4 linked regions of the Macaca mulatta genome follow. The protein of the gene in region 4 purifies or fractionates together with the protein of the main gene of each other region. This does not show direct contact. Links are inferred from orthologs where the notes say so. Each region holds a gene or a part of one and is shown on either strand. Other genes may lie near its edges. The genes, in order: CDC37, MAP2K2, FKBP5 and KSR2.

Region 1 (4,043 bases), on a different chromosome or scaffold from region 4:
GGCTCACACCTGTAATCCAAGCACTGTGGGAGTCCAAGGTGGGCGGATCACTTGAGGTCAGGAGTTCAAGACCAGCGTGGCCAACATGGTGAAACTCCGTGTCTACTAAAACACAAAAAATTAGCCGGGCGTGGTGGCGGACACCTATAATCCCAGGAGGAGGCTGAGGCAGGAGAATCGCTTGAATCCGGGAGGCGGAGGTTGCAGTGATCCGAGATTCCACCACCGCACTCCAGCCCCGGCGACAGCTAGACTCTCAAAAAAAAAAAAAAAAAAAAACCAAGGCCGGGCGCGGTGGCTCAAGCCTGTAATCCCAGCACTTTGGGAGGGCGAGACGGGCGGATCATGAGGTCAGGAGATCAAGACCATCCTGGCTAACACGGTGAAACCCCGTCTCTACTAAAAAATACAAAAAATTAGCCGGGCGAGGTGGTGGGCGCCTGTAGTCCCAGCTACTCGGGAGGCTGAGGCAGGAGAATGGCGAGAACCCAGGAGGCGGAGCTTGCAGTGAGCTGAGATCTGGCCACTGCACTCCAGCCTGGGCGACACAGCGAGACTCCGTCTCAAAAAAACAAAACAAAACAAAACACCAAAAAACCAAAACACATCTGTTGGGGCCAGTGCTGGCCATAGGGTGGGGAGATATAGTCCAGGATGCTGCTCCAAAAGGTGGTAAGGAAGCTGGAAGGCCGGGGCTCTGTGGGCAGGTGGGCAAGATCCACAAAACCCTAGGGAACGTTGACTTGGTTTGCAGATCACTACTGCCCTCTGGTGGTGATCAGCTTGGGCAACCCTGCTTCTGGAGGTTCAAGTAGGGACAGGGGAGTGGGTAGGTGAGAACTGAAGGTTAGAGGCTTTTGAGGCCTCTGGAGGAAGACTGTTCCAAGTGGTGGAACAGCATGTGTGAGGCGAGGACCCACGATGGCTGGTGGGCAAAGGACCAGAGAAGCACAGGCTCAGTCCCCAATAATTCCACCAGGTTTCCCTCCCACCTAGAAGAGATGAGCTGCCTGAACAGCCCTCCAGCAGCCCAGAGAGCATCTGAAATTCTTTATTGGAACATCATTGCTGTTTGCCAAATAGAAGACACAGACAGCAGACGAACAGTGAAAACAGAGCCCAGTGACCAGAGCTGGCCCCTTGGCTGAGGACCCTCCCCTACTACCTGGTGGACCAGCCTGGCAACCTCTGCCCCTCCCCGGACCCCCGGGCCTTTGGCATAATGCTGATGGGGGGCTGCAGGCAGTGAAGCCCCTTGACTCAAAGCAGAGACTTGAATGGGCGCTGGAGAGTGGGGACAGTGGAGAGGCCAGGGAGGGCTGGGCGGGCCCCCCGGGCTGGGCCGAGCAGCGCAAGTGGAGGAAGCCAGGAGCGGGCGAGATGGCATCTATCTGTTTTCTGAAAAGGGGCACATAGGGGCCTGGAAGCAGGTGGTGGTGGTAGCTGGGGCAGGTCACACGCTGACATCCTTCTCATCTCCCGTCTTGGGAACAGCCTCCAGCAGCGGGTCCCCAGGACCTGCCTCTTCTCCCTCCTTGGCCTCACTGGCCTTAGAGTTGGGGACCCAGAGGCCGGAGTCAATGCAGCGTTGCATGTGGTACTTCGCGTCCTGTGAGGAGAAGGGCAGGCAGATGAGGTGGGGCCACCACCCAGGGGTCCCCATTATCCCCTGCACATCCCCAAGCTGGCTTCCTGCCTATTGATATTTAACCAATTTATTTGAGATGGAGTCTCACTCTGTCACCCAGGCTGGAGTGCAATGGTGCAATCTCGGCTCACTGCAACCTCCACCTCCCAGGTTCAAGTGCCTCAGCCTCCCAAGTAGCTGGGGTTACAGACACCTGTCACCATGCCTGGCTGATTTTTTTACTTTTAGTAGAGATGGGGTTTTGCCATGTTGGCCAGGCTGGTCTCAAACTCCTGACCTCAGGTGATCCGCCTGCCTTGGCCTCCCAAAGCGCTGAGATTACAGGCGTGAGCCACCGTACTCAGCTGGAACTTTAAATTTTATTTAACTTTAATTTAAATTTAGATAGTGCAATCTAGAACAAAAGCCAGCAAATTTTTTTAGTAAAGGGACTGACTAAATATTTCTGCTTCCGCAAGCCATATGGTCTCCGTCACGACTCAACTCTGTGGCAGAGCAAGATCGGTTGTAGATGACAGTGAAACAATTGAGCATGGCTTCTTTGTTGCAATAAAACTTTATTATAAAGACAGGCAGTGAGTCTGGGAGCTGCGGTTTGCAGAAGCTGGTCTAGATGGCTATGCCCATAGAAGCTTCTAGAAACTCATGGCCAGTCCTGCAGCTAGACCCATTTTACAGACGAGAAAACCAGGGTGACCAACCAGTGAGCCAAGTGGTAGGAATAGGGTCAATCGTGTCCTACTTAGATTCAACGTCTATTGCCACTTCCAAAAATACAGCCAGTTAGACCTTCTTTATAAAAACATAATTTTTAGAAAAAAAATCAGTGAGATGTCATGGTGTCAGCCTATAATCCCAGGTACTTGGGGAGGCTGAGGTGGGAGGATCACTTGAGCCTGGGAGGTGGAGGCTGCAGCCTGGGTGAGAGAGGAAGACCCTGTCTGTCAAAAAAAAAAAAACAGATGGCCAGGTGCAGTGACTCACGCCTGTAATCCCAGCACTCTGGGAGGCTGAGGCGGGCGGATCACGAGGTCAGGAGATTGAGACCATCCTGGCTAACACAGTGAAACCCCGTCTCTACTAAAAAATACAAAAAATTAGCCGGGCATGGTGGTGGGTGCCTGTAGTCCCAGCTACTCGGGAGGCTGAGGCAGGAGAATGGTGCGAACCCGGGAGGCGGAGTTTGCAGTGAGCAGAAATAGCACCACTGCACTCCAGCCTGGGTGACAGAGTGAGACTCTGTCTCAAAAAAAAAAAAACAAAAACAAAAAACAGACAAAATCCAATTAACAGCCAGCATTTACCAGCCCCTGCCGTGTGCTCAGCTCCTTTCCCCACACGTTTTGTGAGCTGATATTGAGAGAAAATATGGTTTGCATAAGGAAACTGAGGCTGGACTCAGTCACAGTAACAGTGACTATCAGTCACAAGGGACATACGCTCAAAGCTCAGCATTTATCTGCTGGATGCTGGGACACAGTAGGTGCTCAATAAATGTGGGTGTGTGCCAAGGTAACACGACCCCCCTTAGTCCTTGGAGAAGCCTTGGAGGGGCACTTTCACCAACTGGCTTCAGAGACTTGGGACACAGGGCTGGGGGAGACACATGGCCCGCTGGAAAGGCATGGGACGTGGGGGTTACTCACGGTGGGGTCCATCTTGCTGATGGCGTCTTGCAGCATCTGCACGTCCTTTACATCGAAGCACTTCTGGAGTTCCTGGGGGTATAGAAGGGCTGGGGTCAGGGGCTGGGTCCCTGTGCCCTGGGGGGTCCCGCTCAGGGTCCTCCTGCCGCCCGCCTGGGCTGGGGAGCCGCACCTCAGGGAGGGACTCGTAGACCTCGACAGGGTCCAGGCCGCCGGGGCCAAGCCGCTTCTTGCGCTCCTCCTCCTCATACTCCTTCATGGCCTTCTCAATGCGCAGCTTGGCACGGCCCCGCACACGCTCCTTGAAGGCTTCTAGCTCGTCGTTGAAGCCCTCCATGTACTGGCGATCGGCTGTCTATGGGGGTCGGGCAGTGCTCACTAGACTTGGCCCAGTGCTCAGGAGGGACTGGGGGCCCAGGACCCTCCAGCCACAGCTCCTCAGAGGTGCCCCAGGGCTCCCTAAGTCTGTTCCTGACTTACATAAAGGGCTTCCCAAGGCCTGGGCTCCCCTGCCAGGGACCTCATCTGGCATTTGCTAAAGACCACCTCCTTGGGAGCCCTGCTCTACTGCAGATCCGAGACACTCGTGTCCTCAGTGTCCCTGCATGGGCACCTCTAACTCAACACGGCCACCTCCCAGCCTGCCTTGTCCTTGGTCTCCCCAGTCTTGGTAAGGGTAGCCCTGTTCCTCCAGGTGCGCAAGTTAAAAACCCGAGAGGCTGGCAGGCGCCTGTAATGCCAGCTACTTG
Region 2 (4,997 bases), on a different chromosome or scaffold from region 4:
CCCGATGCAGTGGCTCACATCTGTAATTCCAGTGCTTTGGGAGGCTGAGGCGGGAGGATTGCTTCAGGCCAGGAGTTCAACACTGGGCAACATGGCAAGCCTTCCTCTCTAAAAGAGATTTTAAAATGAATACACAGGATGGGAGTGGTGGCCAGCTAGGGGACGTGCAATGGATTCCGGAGGCTATGCCCTGGCAGCCGCTCCCAAGTCCAAGAGGGTTCAAATCCAATTCGGTCACTGACCCCACTCAGCCTCGGTTTTTTTTAACTGCAAAACGGGGCTGATGCTCAATTTCAATGAGAACATGCGTCAAAGGTGTTGGCAGTGGCTTCGCTCAGGTCACCACTTGTGAGACAGCAGCTGGTACTGTGAGGTGGCCTTGGGCAGGCCGTGTGACCACCACCCTGGAAGTGAGCTACGGCGGAGTGGAGGAACTCAGAAGCAAGAACCAACCAACCCACCTCTGCTACGAGCACGGGCAACTCAAGCCCCACGTGCGTAACAAGCAGCAAGTTCTTCACCTGTCTCCCCGGCCCAGGGAATGCAGGGAATGCAGGGGTGCCGCTCCAATGGGAGGGGGTCAGAGGCCACCGTCAGGCCAAGAAGACACTCACAAGCCAGCATGACCTTAAACACTGAGACTGGGCCAGGCGCAGTGGCTCACGCCTGTAATCCCAACAATCTGGGAGGCCAAGATGGGTGGAATCCTTGAGGTCGGGAGTTCGAGACCAGCCTGGCCAACATGGTGAAACCTCGTCTCTACTAAAAATACAAAAAGTAGCTGGGCATGGTGGTGGGCACCTGTAATCCCAGCTACTCAGGAGGCTGAGGCAGGAGAATCGCTTGAACCTGTGAGGTGGAGGTTGCAGTGAGCCAAGATCACGCCACTGCACTCCAGTCTGGGTGACAGAGCGAGACTCTGTCTCAAAAAAATAAATAAATAAAAATAAAAATAAGTAAATAAATAAGATGAGATGAAAGGAGCCCTCGCAGTCCCACCTGCATAGCAGCCAGAGCTGCTGAGCCCGCGCGCTCAACGCATCCTCTCCCACCCCCGAGTCTGCAGGCGCTTAGAAGAAAACCTAATTTTGAAAGAATTATAGAAGCACAGGAAGTTGCAAAAATAGTACCGACAGTCCTGTGTGCCCTTTCCCCGCCTTCCCCAAGGTGAATGACAGCTTCATGACGGAAGGACAGAACCAAACCCCAGAGCCGACGCTGGGACGTCCCCATGCACCAGACCACAGAGCCTGCCCAGCCACGCCTGCCCTCAGGTTTAAAGGCCCCGACCTCCCTTTCCCGGCTGTGGTAAAGCTGCAGGTGAGCCCGTCTTCACCTGTGCCGGTCAGCAGGAGCAGGAGCTGCTGATGCAGCAAGCACTGGGTTCATGTCCACTGCCCAGCCCATCAAGGACCACTGGAGGCTCCCTGAGAAGCCCGAGGGTCCCTGGCACACACGGGGACTGGCACTCTGTCTCAAGGCCCTGCTGTGGCTCTGTCAACCACAAGCTTGCTTTTTTCCTCCCGGTGCTTCGGGCGGAGGCGGACCTGAGCTTTCCAAGGCTGCTCTGGTTTGGAAGAGGCTGCCTGCAGCACGGGGACAGAAATAGCAAGTCCGCGGCTGCAGACTTCAGGAGGGAGGGAGGGTGGCACTCTAGAGGCCAGAAGACAGAGCTGCAGAGCTAAATCCCCGCAGGAGCTGAGCCGCTGCTCCCGAGGAAGGCAGGGCCCCCCAGCAATGCTGCCACCTGCGCGGACCCACAGGACTGGGTGCGGTCAGGTTCCCCCAGTTTGGGGGACTACAGGATGGTGGGCTTCCAGGAAGAGGCAGCATTCTATGTCTGCAAGAACACAGGTGAGGAGCTGAACGCCCCGTCAACACTAAGTCCTCTGCTTATGTGTTTAAGAGCCGCTGTCCCCGAGTGGTCACAACCTCCCTGTATCCCCTGGGCACTCTTCTCAAACACAGAGCAGAGGCTGCATCATGGCCCAGGAGCCCGGGATGACTAAGCTCGGGGGCTGTCAGCGCCAGGGCTTGCAAATTCTCAAAGAGTGGGGTGACAGTCAGCTTTATGCGTCTCCTGGGTGAGACCACGGTGCCTCGTCGTCAAACGCCAGTCTAGAGGTTGCTGGGAAGGTACGTTTTTAAGATGTGATTAACCTTTAAATCGGCAGACTCTGAGCAAAGCAGATTACTCCTCCCAGAGTGGGTGAGTCTCAGCCAATCGGCTGAAGGCCTTCAGGGAAAAGCCTGCCCAGGCACGGTGGCTCGTGCCTGTAATCCCAGCACTTTGGGAGGCCGAGGCAAGAGGATCACTTGAGGTCAGGAGTTCGAGACCAGCCTGGCCAACACAGTGAACCCCATCTCTACTAAAAAAACAAAAATTAACTGGGTGTGGTGGTGCACACCTGTGATCCCAGCTACTCAGGAGGCTGAGGCAGGAGAATCCCTTGAACCCAGGAGGTGGAGGTTGCAGTAAGCCAAGAAAAAAAAAAAAAAAAAAAAAAGAAGAATATAGGTCAAGCACAGTGGCTCATGCCTGTAATCCCAGCACTTTGGGAGGCCGAGGCGGGTGGATCGCCTGAGCTCAGGCCTGGTGTTCTCTTTAGTCCTGGCTACTTGGCAGGCTGAGGCAGGAGGATCACTTGAGCCCAGGAGTCTAAGACCAGCTTGGGCAACATAGTGAGACTCTGTCTCTACAAAACAAACAAACAATTAGCCGGGCGTGCACCTGTGGCCCCAGCTACTCTCAGGATGCTGAGGTGGGAGGATCGCTTGAGCCTAGGAGGCGGAGTCTGCAGTCAGCTATGATCGCACCACTGCACTCTAGCCTGGGCGACAGAGGGAGACCCTGTCTTGGGGAAAAAAGAGAAAAAAAAAACAACCAAAAAAAACACGCCCAAGGCCCCCGAAGAGGAGGGCCTGGATCTCAGCCGCAGCGTCAGCTGTTCCGTGGGGCTCTGGTCAGTCCTGCAGATTTCAGACCCACCAGCCCAGGGACTGTGTGAGCCAATTCCTTAGAATAAATCTCTCTCTACACATACAGTCAAGTATCGTTAAGGACGGGGATACACTGAGAAATCCCTCCCTGGGCGAGGTCGTCGCTGTGTGAACACCGGAAAGCCCATTCTACACCCAGGCTCTTGTACTCTGTACGGTGCGGTGCTGATAAGCATCTGTTTATCTAAATATAGAGAACCGAGGTGGGCGGATCACCTGGGGTCAGGAGTTCCAGACCAGCCTGGCCAACATGGCGACACTCCGCCTCCACTAAAAACACAAAAAAGTTAGCTGGGCACGGTGGTGTCCGCCTGTCATCCCAGCTACTTGGGAGGCTGAGGCAAGAGAATCCTTGAACCCAGGAGGTGGAGATTGCAGTGAGCCAAGATCGTGCCACTGCACTCCAGCCTGGATAGCAGAGAGACTCTGTCTCAAAAATAAATAAATAAATAAAAATAAACATACAGAAGGCAAAGACATGGCCCGATCATCTTACGTCACCACCGCTGCATAGGCGGTCTGTCATTGGCTGAGCCATCGCCATGAGGTGCGTGGCTGTACACACAGGCGCGAACGCACACACGCTTCATCGCTTGTTTCTCTGGAGAACCGTAACACATTCACATTCCTGAAATTCACACTTGTTAGCTTTCTGCGAATGTGGATTTCAAGTGCCCTCCAGGGCAGAAGGTAGCCACCGGAGGGCACAGCTGTGTGTGGCTGGCACCGTTCCCATCTGCCCAGAAGCTGGGCCCTTTCTCAGTACCTAGAGTCCCTGGTGGGGATGAGGAATGGAGCCTGGAGCTAATCAGAATGCAGAGACCCGGCTGCCTTCCCAACCTCCCTCCTGTTTCCAGGGGGAACCTTCCCCACCACTCCCCAACCTCCGACCCCGCAGCGCTCACCTTCCTGGCCATGATGAGGCCCGAGGGTCTGTGCTGGACTTTGGTGACCACCCCGCCGTTGCCCGCGCCCAGCTCTGAGATCCTTTCGAAGTCATCGTCTTTGAGTTCGCCGACCTTGGCTTTCTGGGTGAGAAAGGCTTCCAGACGCTTCTTCTGCTGCTCGTCAAGTTCCAGCTCCTCCAGCTTCTTCTGCAGGTCCACCAGGTTTGCCCTGCAGAGACCCCCAGGGCAGGGGTTAGCTACCTAGGGAGAGTCTACCTTTCCACCTGGCCGTTTACCGCGTGGCCGTGGCGCGCCGGCCCCCAGAAGGACACAGACTGGATTCCTGCACTTCAGGGGTTTGTGGTGTAGAAGGAAAGAAGGATCCATGCTGTGTACACTCAGCAGACACACCAATGACCAGAATCCAGGGCCGCTCCCCGGGAACTGAGGATGCTGCCTTGATCCCGTCTCAGCAAGTCTAGCAGACCTCAGGATCTCGAGGATAAGCCGCAGCTCAAAGGCCTCCATCTGCTTTTTCTTTTTCTTTTTTTGTGAGACAGAGTTTCCCTCTGTTGCTCAGACTGGAATGCAATGGTGCGATCTCGGCTCCCTGCAACCTCCGCCTCCCGGGTTTGAGAGATTCTCCTGCCTCAGTCTCCCAAGTAGCTGAGATTACAGGCGCCCGCCACCATGCCTGGCTAATTTTGTATTTTCAGTAGAGACGGGGTTTCACCATGTTGGTCAGGCTGGTCTCCAACTCCTGACATTAAGTGATCTGCCCGCCTCAGCCTCTCAAAGTGCTGGGATTACAGGCGTGAGCCACCACACCCAGCTGGGAGGCCTCCTTCCTAGGGCACAAGCTCCGGACCATGTCGGGAGGACACGAGGGAGGGATCAGGTGAACGGAGCCCAGGCCAGGATGCCTGTCTTTGCAGGAGATAGAGGAACAAGTGTTCTGAGCACAGTACGAGAACCGAGAGCGGAAGGCAGAAGGCTCAGTACAAAAGCTGCACCAGGCAGGCCCGGTGGTGCACGTCTGCAATCCCAGCCACTTGGGAGGCTGAGGCACGAGAACTGCTTGGACCCGGGAGGCGGAAGTTGCAGTGAACT
Region 3 (5,589 bases), on a different chromosome or scaffold from region 4:
TGTGTACATGTTCTGTTTTCCCCAAACCTCACCCCTCTGGGACGCCTCGGAAGGTCTTGGCATGGGGGATGTAACTCTTAGTTGCAAACAGAGGTAGGAGTTTGTTCTGGGGTAGTGGCGGAGTAGGGAGCCGAGGAAGAGGATCCTAGAAGAAAAGTGGGACATAGGGCAAGAGGATCTCCCCTATCTCTGTCCTCAGCTGACCCAGAGTTCAGAGTCTCTTCCTGCCCCCTCCCCTCAAAACCACAAGGCCCCTGAAGATTTCCTCCTCGGAGGGAGGAACAGGCAGGTGGTGTGGTGTTTTGAAGCCTGAGACCCTGCTTTTCTGCCCCCACCCCCAAACCACAATAAAGACCCAGGAATCCTGCCACCTAGCCACAAACCTCCTCCTTCCACCTCTATGCAGGGGAAATGGGGTCCCATTTGGGGTCCCCACTGGGGACTTATGCTGTCCCTATGCTGTGTCCTGGCATCTTGTGGGGCCATTGTGATGATGACAGCAGCCCAGAGCAGGGCTCTTCCTGGGGATGGGGACCTGCCCCACGTCCCAGCTTCCTGGGGTGCTGCGCAGTGCCCTGAGGGATGCTTTGTGCCTGGAGAGTGCCAGGGCAGGCGGGGAGGAGTGGTTCCGGGAAAGGCCCTGGCAGGCAGCATAGGCCTGGGCTCCAGGGCCTTTGAGGGTGGGCCTAGGGGAGGGACCTCAGGCTGCTGAAGTGCCTTACCTGGGCCTCCTGCCATCTGATGGCATCTCTGGCACCCTCTGTGGCTAAAGATGCCAACACAGGCCTGAGCCGTGGACCCCCTTCCCATACATACATCACACTTCCCACACAGGCTCTCACCCAGCCAATGCACACTGCATCTCCCAGTTGGGAGGCACCTTCACTGCCATCTACTCCCACCTTCTTCCTGATGCTTGAAATCTGTCCGTGATCCCAGGTCAGTGATTGCTCGAGGCTATGACAGGGACACTCTCAGACAGCAGCCCACTGCTCTTCTGGACTTCCCTATCTCCAAGTCCAGTCACCTACGGGACACCTGCCCTTACATGGCCTAGAAGTGACTGAACTCATATTCATGTCCCTCACACCAGCTCCTCCCCATTGCCCACCATGACCCTCCCAGTCCTGAAACTCACTGCAAAGGTAGATTAATGTTTAACTACTTTCTCTCCTTCATCATCCTTATGTCTGATATCTTATCAAATTCTTCCCTTTGTTGCTTTTATTTCAAAATATATTGTTTGTTCATTACTTTTCTCCTTCACCCTTTCCCCTCCAGCCCCATAGATTCCACCTTTGGCCCAAATTCTCACAGCAGCTGCTACACTGTCCTTTCTTTTTCCTTCCTCCTACACACCCTGCTGGAATAATCTTTCTCAAACATCATTTATTGTGTATGTTATCAACTTCAGACTCCTCAACCAAGCACAGTGAGTACACTAGCTAAGCTGTGTATTCTCTGTGAGATGGGACCTGAATTCACTCATGGCATGTCCAGGCCACAGGGTTGAGTGCAGTGCCTCCTGCACAGCAGGAGGGCAGCAAATGTTCCTCAAGTGACCCATCCATTTGGTGGTGTTCCCTTTCCACCGTTCCAATTCTCTCTCCTGCCTTGGTCTCCCCAGTCCCATCAAGCCTATTGGCTTCCCAATGCTCACTGGGGCCCTTTTGTTTTGAAGGGCCACTGTTTTTCATTTCCCCAAAATCTTAGGTGGCTGGAGGTGGGGAGCTGGTGGGGAAGGGAGAGGCCGACATCCAAGTTAATATCAGGAAGGTTGTGGCAAATACCAACTGCAAAACCTTGGGTGCAGAGCAGAATGAGGGCAGATGCCTGCTAGGAGTCCCTGTTCAGTAAGAGACAAAACCACAGAGGAGGGCAGAATGTGGAAAGGAGAGTGGCATAACTAGTGGCTTCCCTCTGAGCCTGTGAGCTGCCTTTAATCTTTTCCTTTTTTTTTCTTTTTTTGAGATTGAGTCTTGCTCTGTCGCCCAGGGTGGAGTGCAGTGGGGCGATCTCGGCTCATTGCAACCTCTGCCTCCCCAGTTCAAGCAATTCTCCTATCTGAGCCTCCCGAGTAGCTGGGACTTCAGTTGAACACCACCACGCCCAGCTAATATTTGCATTTTTAGTAGAGACGGGGTTTCACCATATTGGTCAGGCTGGTCTCAAACTCCTGACCTCAGGTGATCCACCCGCCTCAGCCTCCCAAAGTGCTGGGATTACAGGAGTGAGCTACCGTGCCCCACCTAATCTTTTTTATGTTTTATTGCTTAGTTATGTCCTGCAGTATTTTAAACCTCTTCTCCCATAGGCTGTAGGCTTTTTAATGGCAGGGACAGTGTCTTTTATTTATTTGACATCATCTACTTATTTTGAGAAGCAGGCACGAAATACTTTGGAGGGCACATAAAACTTGGGTCTGGATCCTGGTTCCAACACTTAGCTGTTTGGCCCTGGGTAAGTCTCTTAACCTCTCTGAGCCAGTTTCTTCGTCTGTAAAAGCCGCTAGTGACACTCGTTTTGCAGAATGAGGGGCAAAAATTACAGAGAATACAAAGCACCAGGAAAGTGCCTGTTGTACCCAATAGTTTATATTCCTTCCCCGTATGGTTGGAGCCTTTTCTGAATTGGGAGAAAGGTGTTCCTTAACTACTGCCCATACTGGGACACTTTAAACTTGAAAAGGGGCACTGTTAATAATTACGTCCGTTCCAGGGACGCAGAGCCACCCTACCGTAGTTCACAACAACTGGCAGGGTTCGGATGGCACGCAATATCCCAGTGCCTAAGCACAGCCCCAAGCATAACGCTCAATAAATGCCTGTTGAATCAAAGAGCGAACAGAAGCTGACCCTCACTCCGTTTTTTGGACATCATTGACTGAAGCAAATTGAAAAGCCCGCCCCTGCTGCGCCCCCACCCCCACCCCCACCCCGTCCCAGAGCCACCGGCAGCCTCAATTCCCTGAGGTCTGCCCTTCAGTAGCCCACCGTCCCGCCCCCGGTTGCCTTGACATCAGTGACGTCGCCGAGGGGCGTGGCCTCTCTCCATCCTCTGCTGGTGCCCTGGGCCCCTCCGCATCCGAACCTGGGGGGAGGATGAGGTTGGTGGCCCTTGACCCTACTCGCCCCCCGCCGGGCCAGCATCTAAGCCCGCCTGGCCGCCTTTCTTGGGCGCGCAGCTGTCTCGAGTGTGGGTACCCATCTCCACCCCCACCCTTACCCGGGTGAACTAGCGGGGGTTCTAGAGTGCCGGATCCCGGTGAGCCCTCTCCACCAGCTGCGGGCTAAAGGATCCTGAGAACCTGGGCCCAGCGCTCAGCTCAGGCCCGCCCCTTCCCGGTCAGCCCCCTCGCTCCACGTCCTGGGGGGCGGGCGGGAAGGATGGGACCCCCGCCCAGGAGGCGCACAGGCGCCAACGAGCGCGGGAGAGAAAGAGTTAAATTAGGTGCCGGCGCCGGGCGCGGCGCGAGTGGGGGAGGGGAGCGAAGAGAAAGTGAGAGCGGGGGCGGAGCGGGGACGGGAGCGAAAGAACATCCTGTGCCCGTCGCCGGATGCGCGCGGGGGGAGGAGGTAGTCCGGGGAGGGAGAGCAAGACGGGGGGAGGCCCGGGGCGGGGAAAGGCGCGGCCTCCTTCCCCCCCAACCTCCTCCTCTGGGGGCGCTGGCCCCCTCTGCTTCCCGCGCCTTAGCCGGAGCTACCCGGAGGCCCCAGGATCTGGTTCCTGGGCAGGAGTAAGCGCTAGCTGGGGAGAGATGATCTCGGAGAGTATGGGATGCACGTCAAGGCAGGGGCGGCCCCCAGCCTTTCATCTCTTGGTTTTCTGCAAGGGAAGCTCGCACGTGTTGAGCGTCCCCTGTGCACCGAAAGTACACACATTATCTTAGTCAGTCCTGACAGCGGCACTTCCAGGCAGTAGACAGGAATTCATAGACTCGCGTTCTAGAAGAGGAAACAGACTCAGATTATGGAATTTGTCCAAACCCCACACTGCTGGGATGTGAATGCAAGCCTGTCGGACTGCAAAGGGCTTTTCACTGGAGTTTAGGGTAGGGCAATTTCCCCTTAGCTTCTATGCGCACAAGTACTGGGCCGCTGCAGTATCACCCTCGGGAATGGCGGTGTCTTTTCGTAGAGGACCCCCAACAGCATCTGGCTGGAGCTTCTGTCATTAACTAGGCTCAAACAACCATTGCCAGGATATTGGTAAAGAGATGAGGAAGGGGCCTTAGGGTTCCACAGGTAGTTGGATGGTTCTTAGAAACACAGTTTAGGGGAATGTGTTGTAGCGCTCCTGCTCCTCTTTTAGGTATTTGTGGGGGCTTCAAAGAGGGTTCCAGAGTCACTCAAAGCAGTTACATGGATTACAGGAATTCGGATTGATTCACTTTAAGAAGACCAGGGAGGTCTGGTGTGGTGGTTTATGCCTGTAATCCCAGCACTTTGAGAGGCCGAGGCAGGCAGATCACCTGAGAGCAGGAGTTCGGGACCAGCCTGGCCGAAATGGTGAAATCCAATCCACTAAAAATACAAAAATTAACCAGGCGCGGTGGTGCACGCCTGTAGTTCCAGCTACTCGGCAAGCTGAGGCACAAGAATTGCTCGAACCTGGGAGGCCGAGTTTGCAGTGAGCCGAGATGGCGCCACTGCACTGCAACCTGGGAGACAGAGCCAGACTCGTATCAAAAAAAAAAAAAAGACAACGACTAGCGTGAGAGGTAGTGGGTAAGTGGAAGGAAGGGCTGACTCATGTGCTTTTCAGGCTGGGATGCATTGAGGGCTACCGTCTGTGTTCTCACTGCCTGCCCACACCCCACATGTTGTCCAGGTGAAACCTGCGGAGATAATTAGGATTATAGTCAACATTTGTTGAGCTCTGTGTGCTGGGCACTGTTCCAAGTGCTTTACTTAATCCTCGCAATCCCATGAAGTAAGTCTTATTGTTTCTATTTTACAGGTGGGGAAAATGAGGCACAAGGAGACCACAAAGCTAAATCCGTGACTAAACTGGTTTTGAGACGGAGTCTCCCTCTGTTGCCAGGATGGAGTGCAGTGGTGCGATCTCGATTCACTGCAACCTCCGCCTCGTGGGTTCAAGCAGTTCTGCCTCAGCCTCCTGAGTAGCTGGGATTACAGGTACACATCACCAGCTAATTTTTGTATTTTTTAGTAGAGACGCGGTTTCCCCATGTTGGCCAGGCTGGCCACTCTGACCTTGTGATCTGCCTGTCTCCGACTCCCAAAGTGCTGGGATTACAGGCTTGAGCCACCGCGCCCTGCCCTGAACTGGTTTTGAACCCTGGCTAGAACCCGTACTTATTTACTAAACTCAAATGTACTTAACATGATGAGAACATCGGCCTTGAAGGTAAAAATGCTGGCATAGATGGCAAAGAGGTGTGTGCTTGAGCAGCCCATGTCCTTTTCCTGGGTAAGGCAGGTAAGTAACTCACAGCTGGCTGTGTGTATTTTGGCTGTCAGACTTCTCTTTAACCAGTGGTTCCAGATTTCTGGATTTGACAGAAAAAGCAAGAAAACAAGTGAAAGCCAGGTTCCCATAAAGAGCTGCAGCTTTTAATTTATGCTC
Region 4 (4,997 bases):
TTTCGCCTTACTAGGTGGTGCACCCTGGGAAACGGACAGGAAGAAGCACAAAGTGTGGGGACAATGTAGCAAGCAGACCCCAAATGCCTCTTCCACCTTCCACCTTAGCAACCTGCACTCCCAGCCTTCCTAGAACTCTACCCCATGTCTTCACCTTGAGGTTTCAGCAGGCCCCAATCTCTGTGGCTGTCACAAAACCATGCAAATCAAACCCAACTCCAATCAGAAAAGCATCTATCCTCTGCTTCACCCTCAGAGGTCTCAGACACGCATTCTACGTCTTCAAGCTAGGTTTCCACACAGCAGCTTGAATATGACTATTGTAAAATCATATGTTCCACGTCAATCACTTTAGGGCATTCCCAATGCTTCAAAAAAGAGAATCACTCTCTACACCACAGCTTCAGACAGGGCTTGGTAAACCACAGTTCATGGGCCAAATTGGGCCAGGTACCTGTTTTTATAAATAAAGTTTTATTGGAACACTGCCATGCCTATTTGTTTACCTATTGTCTGTGCTGGTTTTGTGCTACATGATAGAGTTGAGTAGCTGCAATAGAGACCAAATGGCCTGCAAAGTCTAAAGTATTTACTATCTGCCCCTGTACAGAAAAAGTGTGCCAACTCTTCACTTACAGAATCCTGCCTTTTTTTAATGGTGATAAAATACACATAACATAAAATTTACCATCTTAACTGCTTTGAAGTGTAGAGATCAGTGGTATTAATTACATTTGCATTGTTGTACAACCATCACCACCATCCATCTCCAGAATGTTTACATCATCCCAAATGCAAAGTCTATACCCAATAAATAATAACTCCCCATTCTCCCTCCCCTCAGCCCTGGCATCCACTGTTCTACTTTCTGCCTCTTTGAATCTGTCTACTCTAGGTATCTCATATTGGTGGAATTATGCAGTATTTGTCCTTATGTGTCTGGCACATTTTACTTAGCATGCTGTCTTCAAGGTTCACCCATGTTGTAGCATATATCAGAAGTTCCTCCCACGTCGGGCGTGGTGGCTCATGCCTGTAATCCCAGCACTTTGGGAGGCCAAGTCGGGCAGATCATTTGAGGTCAGGAGTTTGAAACCAGCCTGGCCAACATGGTGAAACCCTGTCTCTACTAAAAATACAAAAAATTAGCCAGGCATGGTGGCGCAGGCTTCTAGTCCCAGCTACTCGGGAGGCTGAGGCAGGAGAATCACTTGAACCTGGGAGGCAGAGGTTGCAGTGAGCTGACATCGCACCACTGCACTCCAGCCTGGGCAACAGAGCGAGACTCTGTCTCAAAAAAAATAAGTTTCTTCCTTTTTAAGGCTAAATCATATTGCATTGTATGGATAGACCACATTGTGTTTACTCATTTGTCTACTGATGGACACAGGTTGTTTCTACTTTTTGGCTACTGTGAATAGCACAGCAACCTGCCCAATCCTCAAGTGTCACCCTACATCACACACCTGCTCTCTCCCTCAAAGGGGTCCTCTGTCAATTTCCTCAATGTGTCCTGCTTCCTACCACCTTCAACTGAAATGAGCCGTGGATATAAAATACACATTCAATATCAAAGACTTTGTATTTTAAAAAATGCAAAATATCTCAGTAATGATATTTTACATTCATTCTATGTTAAAATATTATCATTTTGATATATTAGGTTGAATGACGTATTATGATAATTAATATCACTTGTTCCTTTTCATTCTTTTTAATGTGACTACTAGAAAGTTGAAGGTTAATATATGCCTCATATCCTATTTCTAGGAGCGGCACTAGGCTAGACTCTGCAGGGGTTGGCAAACGTTTTCAGTAAAAAGCCAGATGGTAAATATTTTCAGCTTTGTGGGCCATTCTCACTCTGCCATTGTCAGACAAAAGCAGCCATAGGCAACACATAAAGGAATGATCATGGGTATGTTCCAATACCTTTTATTTACAAAATCAGGCCAGCTATCAGATTTAGCCCCTAGGCTATAGGATATTAATCGTATTTTTTAAATGGCCTATTCTGAGAAAGTCTGTTCTATTCATTTTCTCAGAACCCTCTGTGAAAAGCCATTTTTCATTCAGCCAGAGTCTGGAACACAAGTCTGTTCCCGGTTTCCCTGACCTGGGCAGCTCCTGAGACCACGGGGCAGCCCCTCGCAGTCCGGGACTCGACAGCCCCAGGGCACCCACCGACCGCACTCACTTGGGCGTGTGGGCCTCGTCCACGCGGTGCCCCAGCTGGAACTCGTGGGATTTGCTCCGATGCAGCGCGGTGAACCCCGGGATCAAGTGTATCAGCTTTCGGGAGGAGGGTGGTGGGGTCCCCGGGGGCTTCAGCTTGTTCTTCTTCCTCATGGGCGGCGTGCCCGGCGGGGTCACGGTGGTGACGATGTTGGGGGTGCGCGGCGGGGTGCGGACCGCGTGCCGCTGCCGGGGCGATGGGGGCAAGGAACGGTGGCCCGACTCCAGGGGCGGGGGCGGGCACAAGCCCGGGTAGGGGTCCACGGTAAGCCTGTCCACGTGAGTGTACACAGGGGCCCCGGGAGTGGGGCTGGTGTGACAATAGTGCTGGACGCACTTGGACTGGACCCTGGGGCTCTGGGAGAGATGGGTGCGGATCCACGGGGTGGGCTCCGGGGGGCACACGGGATTGTTCTCCTTCCCCGTTTCTGTCGTGGGCCACTGGATGGTCCAGTCTTGTTTGGAAAGGTTGCCTCCTAAGTTGGAACAGAAGAGCAGAGACAATGGGTAAGCCATGAGAAAGCCAGATGAGTTATACCACATACACCATTACATCATACACACATTACACCACATGCCCATTACATCATACGCATGTTACACTATATACCTGTTACATCCTATGCATGTTATTTCATGTGCACATTACACCACGTGCCCATTACATCATATGCATGTTACACTATATACCTGTTACATCCTATGCATGTTATTTCATGTGCACATTACACCATGTGCCCATTACATCATATGCATGTTACGCTATATAACTGTTACATCGTATGTATAACATACGCTCATTATATCATATGCACATTAAATCACATGCATGTTACACTATATATCTGTTACATTGTATGCATGTTATATGTACATTATATCATATGCACATTACATCATATGCATGTCACATTATATGTACATTACATCATATGCATGCTATTTCATATGCCCATTACCTCTTATAGACATTCTATCAAATGCACGTTACATCATACTCACATTAGATCATAAGCACATTTACATAAATCCAACCACCCCTACTTGGCCTCTCCAAAAAGAGAATGAAATCCCTTTGTTGACCCTGTTACCCTATTCCCCATTCAACAGCCTTGTCTTCCACTGCCCCATAGCTGGAAAGACCCCACAGCCCAAATGCTCAGAAAAGCAAAGAAGTTAATTCTCGCCTTTTGAGCTTCCCAAGGTTCCAGTTCCGGCAGTTTCAAAGTGATTTAAAGGATTTTAAAGGATAACTTTTCCCTTACATGGACATTTTAATACCTAACCCTCACATGAGATACACAGATTCCAAGGAAGTCAAGTTCATCCTTCTCCCTGACCACTTCCTCGGCCACCGCATACTTCTTCCAGATCTATGTCACCATGTTCTCATTCATGCATTTGTCCAGTAAACATCCTGTGAGTGCCAACTATGCCCTTTGCTTGGAAAAGACACAAAAGTAACACAGAAGAGACCCTGGTCCCTGGACTTACATTCTGCCAAAGCAGAGTCATGATAGACAAGAAAACATGCTCACTGAAGGATTTCACCCTCCTCCCGAAAGCTGATACACTTGATCCCAGGGTTCACCGCGCTGCATCGGAGCAAATCCCACAAGTTCCAGCTGGGGCACTGCGTGGACGAGGCCCACACGCCCAAGTGAGTGCGGTCGGTGGGTGCCCTGGGGCTGTCAAGTCCCGGACTGCGAGGGGCTGCCCCGTGGTCTCACGAGCTGCCCAGGTCAGGGAAGCCGGGAACAGACTTGTGTTCCAGACTTGTGTTATTGGTGCTGGGAGGGAAATAAACAGAATGATGTGATAAAAGCAATATGGGTGGCTGTGCACGGAGGCTCACACCTGTAGTTCCAGTAATTTGGGAGGCCAAAGTGGGTAGATCGCTTGAGGTCAGGAGTTCAAGACCAGCCTGGCCAACATGGTGAAACCCCATCTCTACTAAAAATGCAAAAAATTAGCCAGGCATAGTGGCACGCACCTGTAATCCCAGTTACTGGGGAGGCTGAGACAGGAGAATTGCTTCAACCCAGGAGGCAGAGATTACAGTGAGCCAAGATTGCATCACTGCACTCCAGCCCAGGCTACAGGCTCGCTCTAAAAAAACAAAGAATATGGGTAACAGAATGGTTAACCATAGAGTGCTACATACAAACCACATGCTACACAGCTCAGCCAGGAGAAGGCACCAAGTGCCAATGCACACAAAAGCCTGGGCGAATGTCCAGAGAATTAGGCTGAGTAAAAAAAATGCCAATCCCCAAAGGTTACATACTATATGACTCCATTTATATAGTATTTTTGAAATGACAACATTTTTGAAACAGAGGATAGACTGATGGCTGCCAGGGGTTAGGGATGGCAGAAAAGTGGGTAGGAGAAAAATGGATGCGGGGATAGAAGAGCAATACAAGGGAGCCTTGGAGTGCTGGAACTCTCCAGCATCTTGACTGTGGTAGATATACAAACCTACACAGATGATCAGAGTACATAAAAGTAGGCCCGTGGTGCACATAGACACCATGGAATACTATGCAGCCATAAAAAAGGATGAATTCAAGTCATTTGTAGGGACATGGATGAAGCTGGAAACTATCATTCTCAGCAAACTATCACAAGGACAGAAAACCAAACACCACATGTTCTCTCACTCATAGGTGGGAATTGAACAATGAGATCATTTGGACACAGGGTAGGGGACATCACACACAGGGTCCTGCAGGGGGAGTGGGGGACTACGGGAGGGATAG

What was found.
Region 1: the proteins of KSR2 (region 4) and CDC37 purify together in Homo sapiens (affinity purification with mass spectrometry; 3 studies listed by BioGRID and IntAct, with this or other methods). This does not show direct contact. The link is inferred for Macaca mulatta from reciprocal best matches to the Homo sapiens genes KSR2 and CDC37.
Region 2: the proteins of KSR2 (region 4) and MAP2K2 purify together in Homo sapiens (affinity purification with mass spectrometry; 3 studies listed by BioGRID and IntAct, with this or other methods). This does not show direct contact. The link is inferred for Macaca mulatta from reciprocal best matches to the Homo sapiens genes KSR2 and MAP2K2.
Region 3: the proteins of KSR2 (region 4) and FKBP5 purify together in Homo sapiens (affinity purification with mass spectrometry; 3 studies listed by BioGRID and IntAct, with this or other methods). This does not show direct contact. The link is inferred for Macaca mulatta from reciprocal best matches to the Homo sapiens genes KSR2 and FKBP5.

What each region holds. Positions count from the first base shown.
Region 1 is NC_133424.1:11,119,498-11,123,540, forward strand, and holds the end of CDC37 (hsp90 co-chaperone Cdc37), read right to left. Parts: intron 3,650-4,043; coding exon 3,467-3,649; intron 3,367-3,466; coding exon 3,295-3,366; intron 1,610-3,294; coding exon 1,454-1,609; 3' UTR 1,036-1,453; downstream 1-1,035. UniProt on the Homo sapiens protein: Co-chaperone that binds to numerous kinases and promotes their interaction with the Hsp90 complex, resulting in stabilization and promotion of their activity. Inhibits HSP90AA1 ATPase activity.
Region 2 is NC_133424.1:4,939,089-4,944,085, forward strand, and holds part of MAP2K2 (dual specificity mitogen-activated protein kinase kinase 2), read right to left. Parts: exon of another isoform or gene 4,420-4,997; intron 4,117-4,419; coding exon 3,906-4,116; intron 1-3,905. UniProt on the Homo sapiens protein: Catalyzes the concomitant phosphorylation of a threonine and a tyrosine residue in a Thr-Glu-Tyr sequence located in MAP kinases. Activates the ERK1 and ERK2 MAP kinases.
Region 3 is NC_133409.1:146,535,689-146,541,277, reverse strand, and holds the start of FKBP5 (peptidyl-prolyl cis-trans isomerase FKBP5), read right to left. Parts: upstream 3,198-5,589; 5' UTR 3,128-3,197; intron 1-3,127. UniProt on the Homo sapiens protein: Immunophilin protein with PPIase and co-chaperone activities. Component of unligated steroid receptors heterocomplexes through interaction with heat-shock protein 90 (HSP90).
Region 4 is NC_133416.1:125,024,992-125,029,988, forward strand, and holds part of KSR2 (kinase suppressor of Ras 2), read right to left. Parts: intron 2,712-4,997; coding exon 2,198-2,711; intron 1-2,197. UniProt on the Homo sapiens protein: Location-regulated scaffold connecting MEK to RAF. Has very low protein kinase activity and can phosphorylate MAP2K1 at several Ser and Thr residues with very low efficiency (in vitro).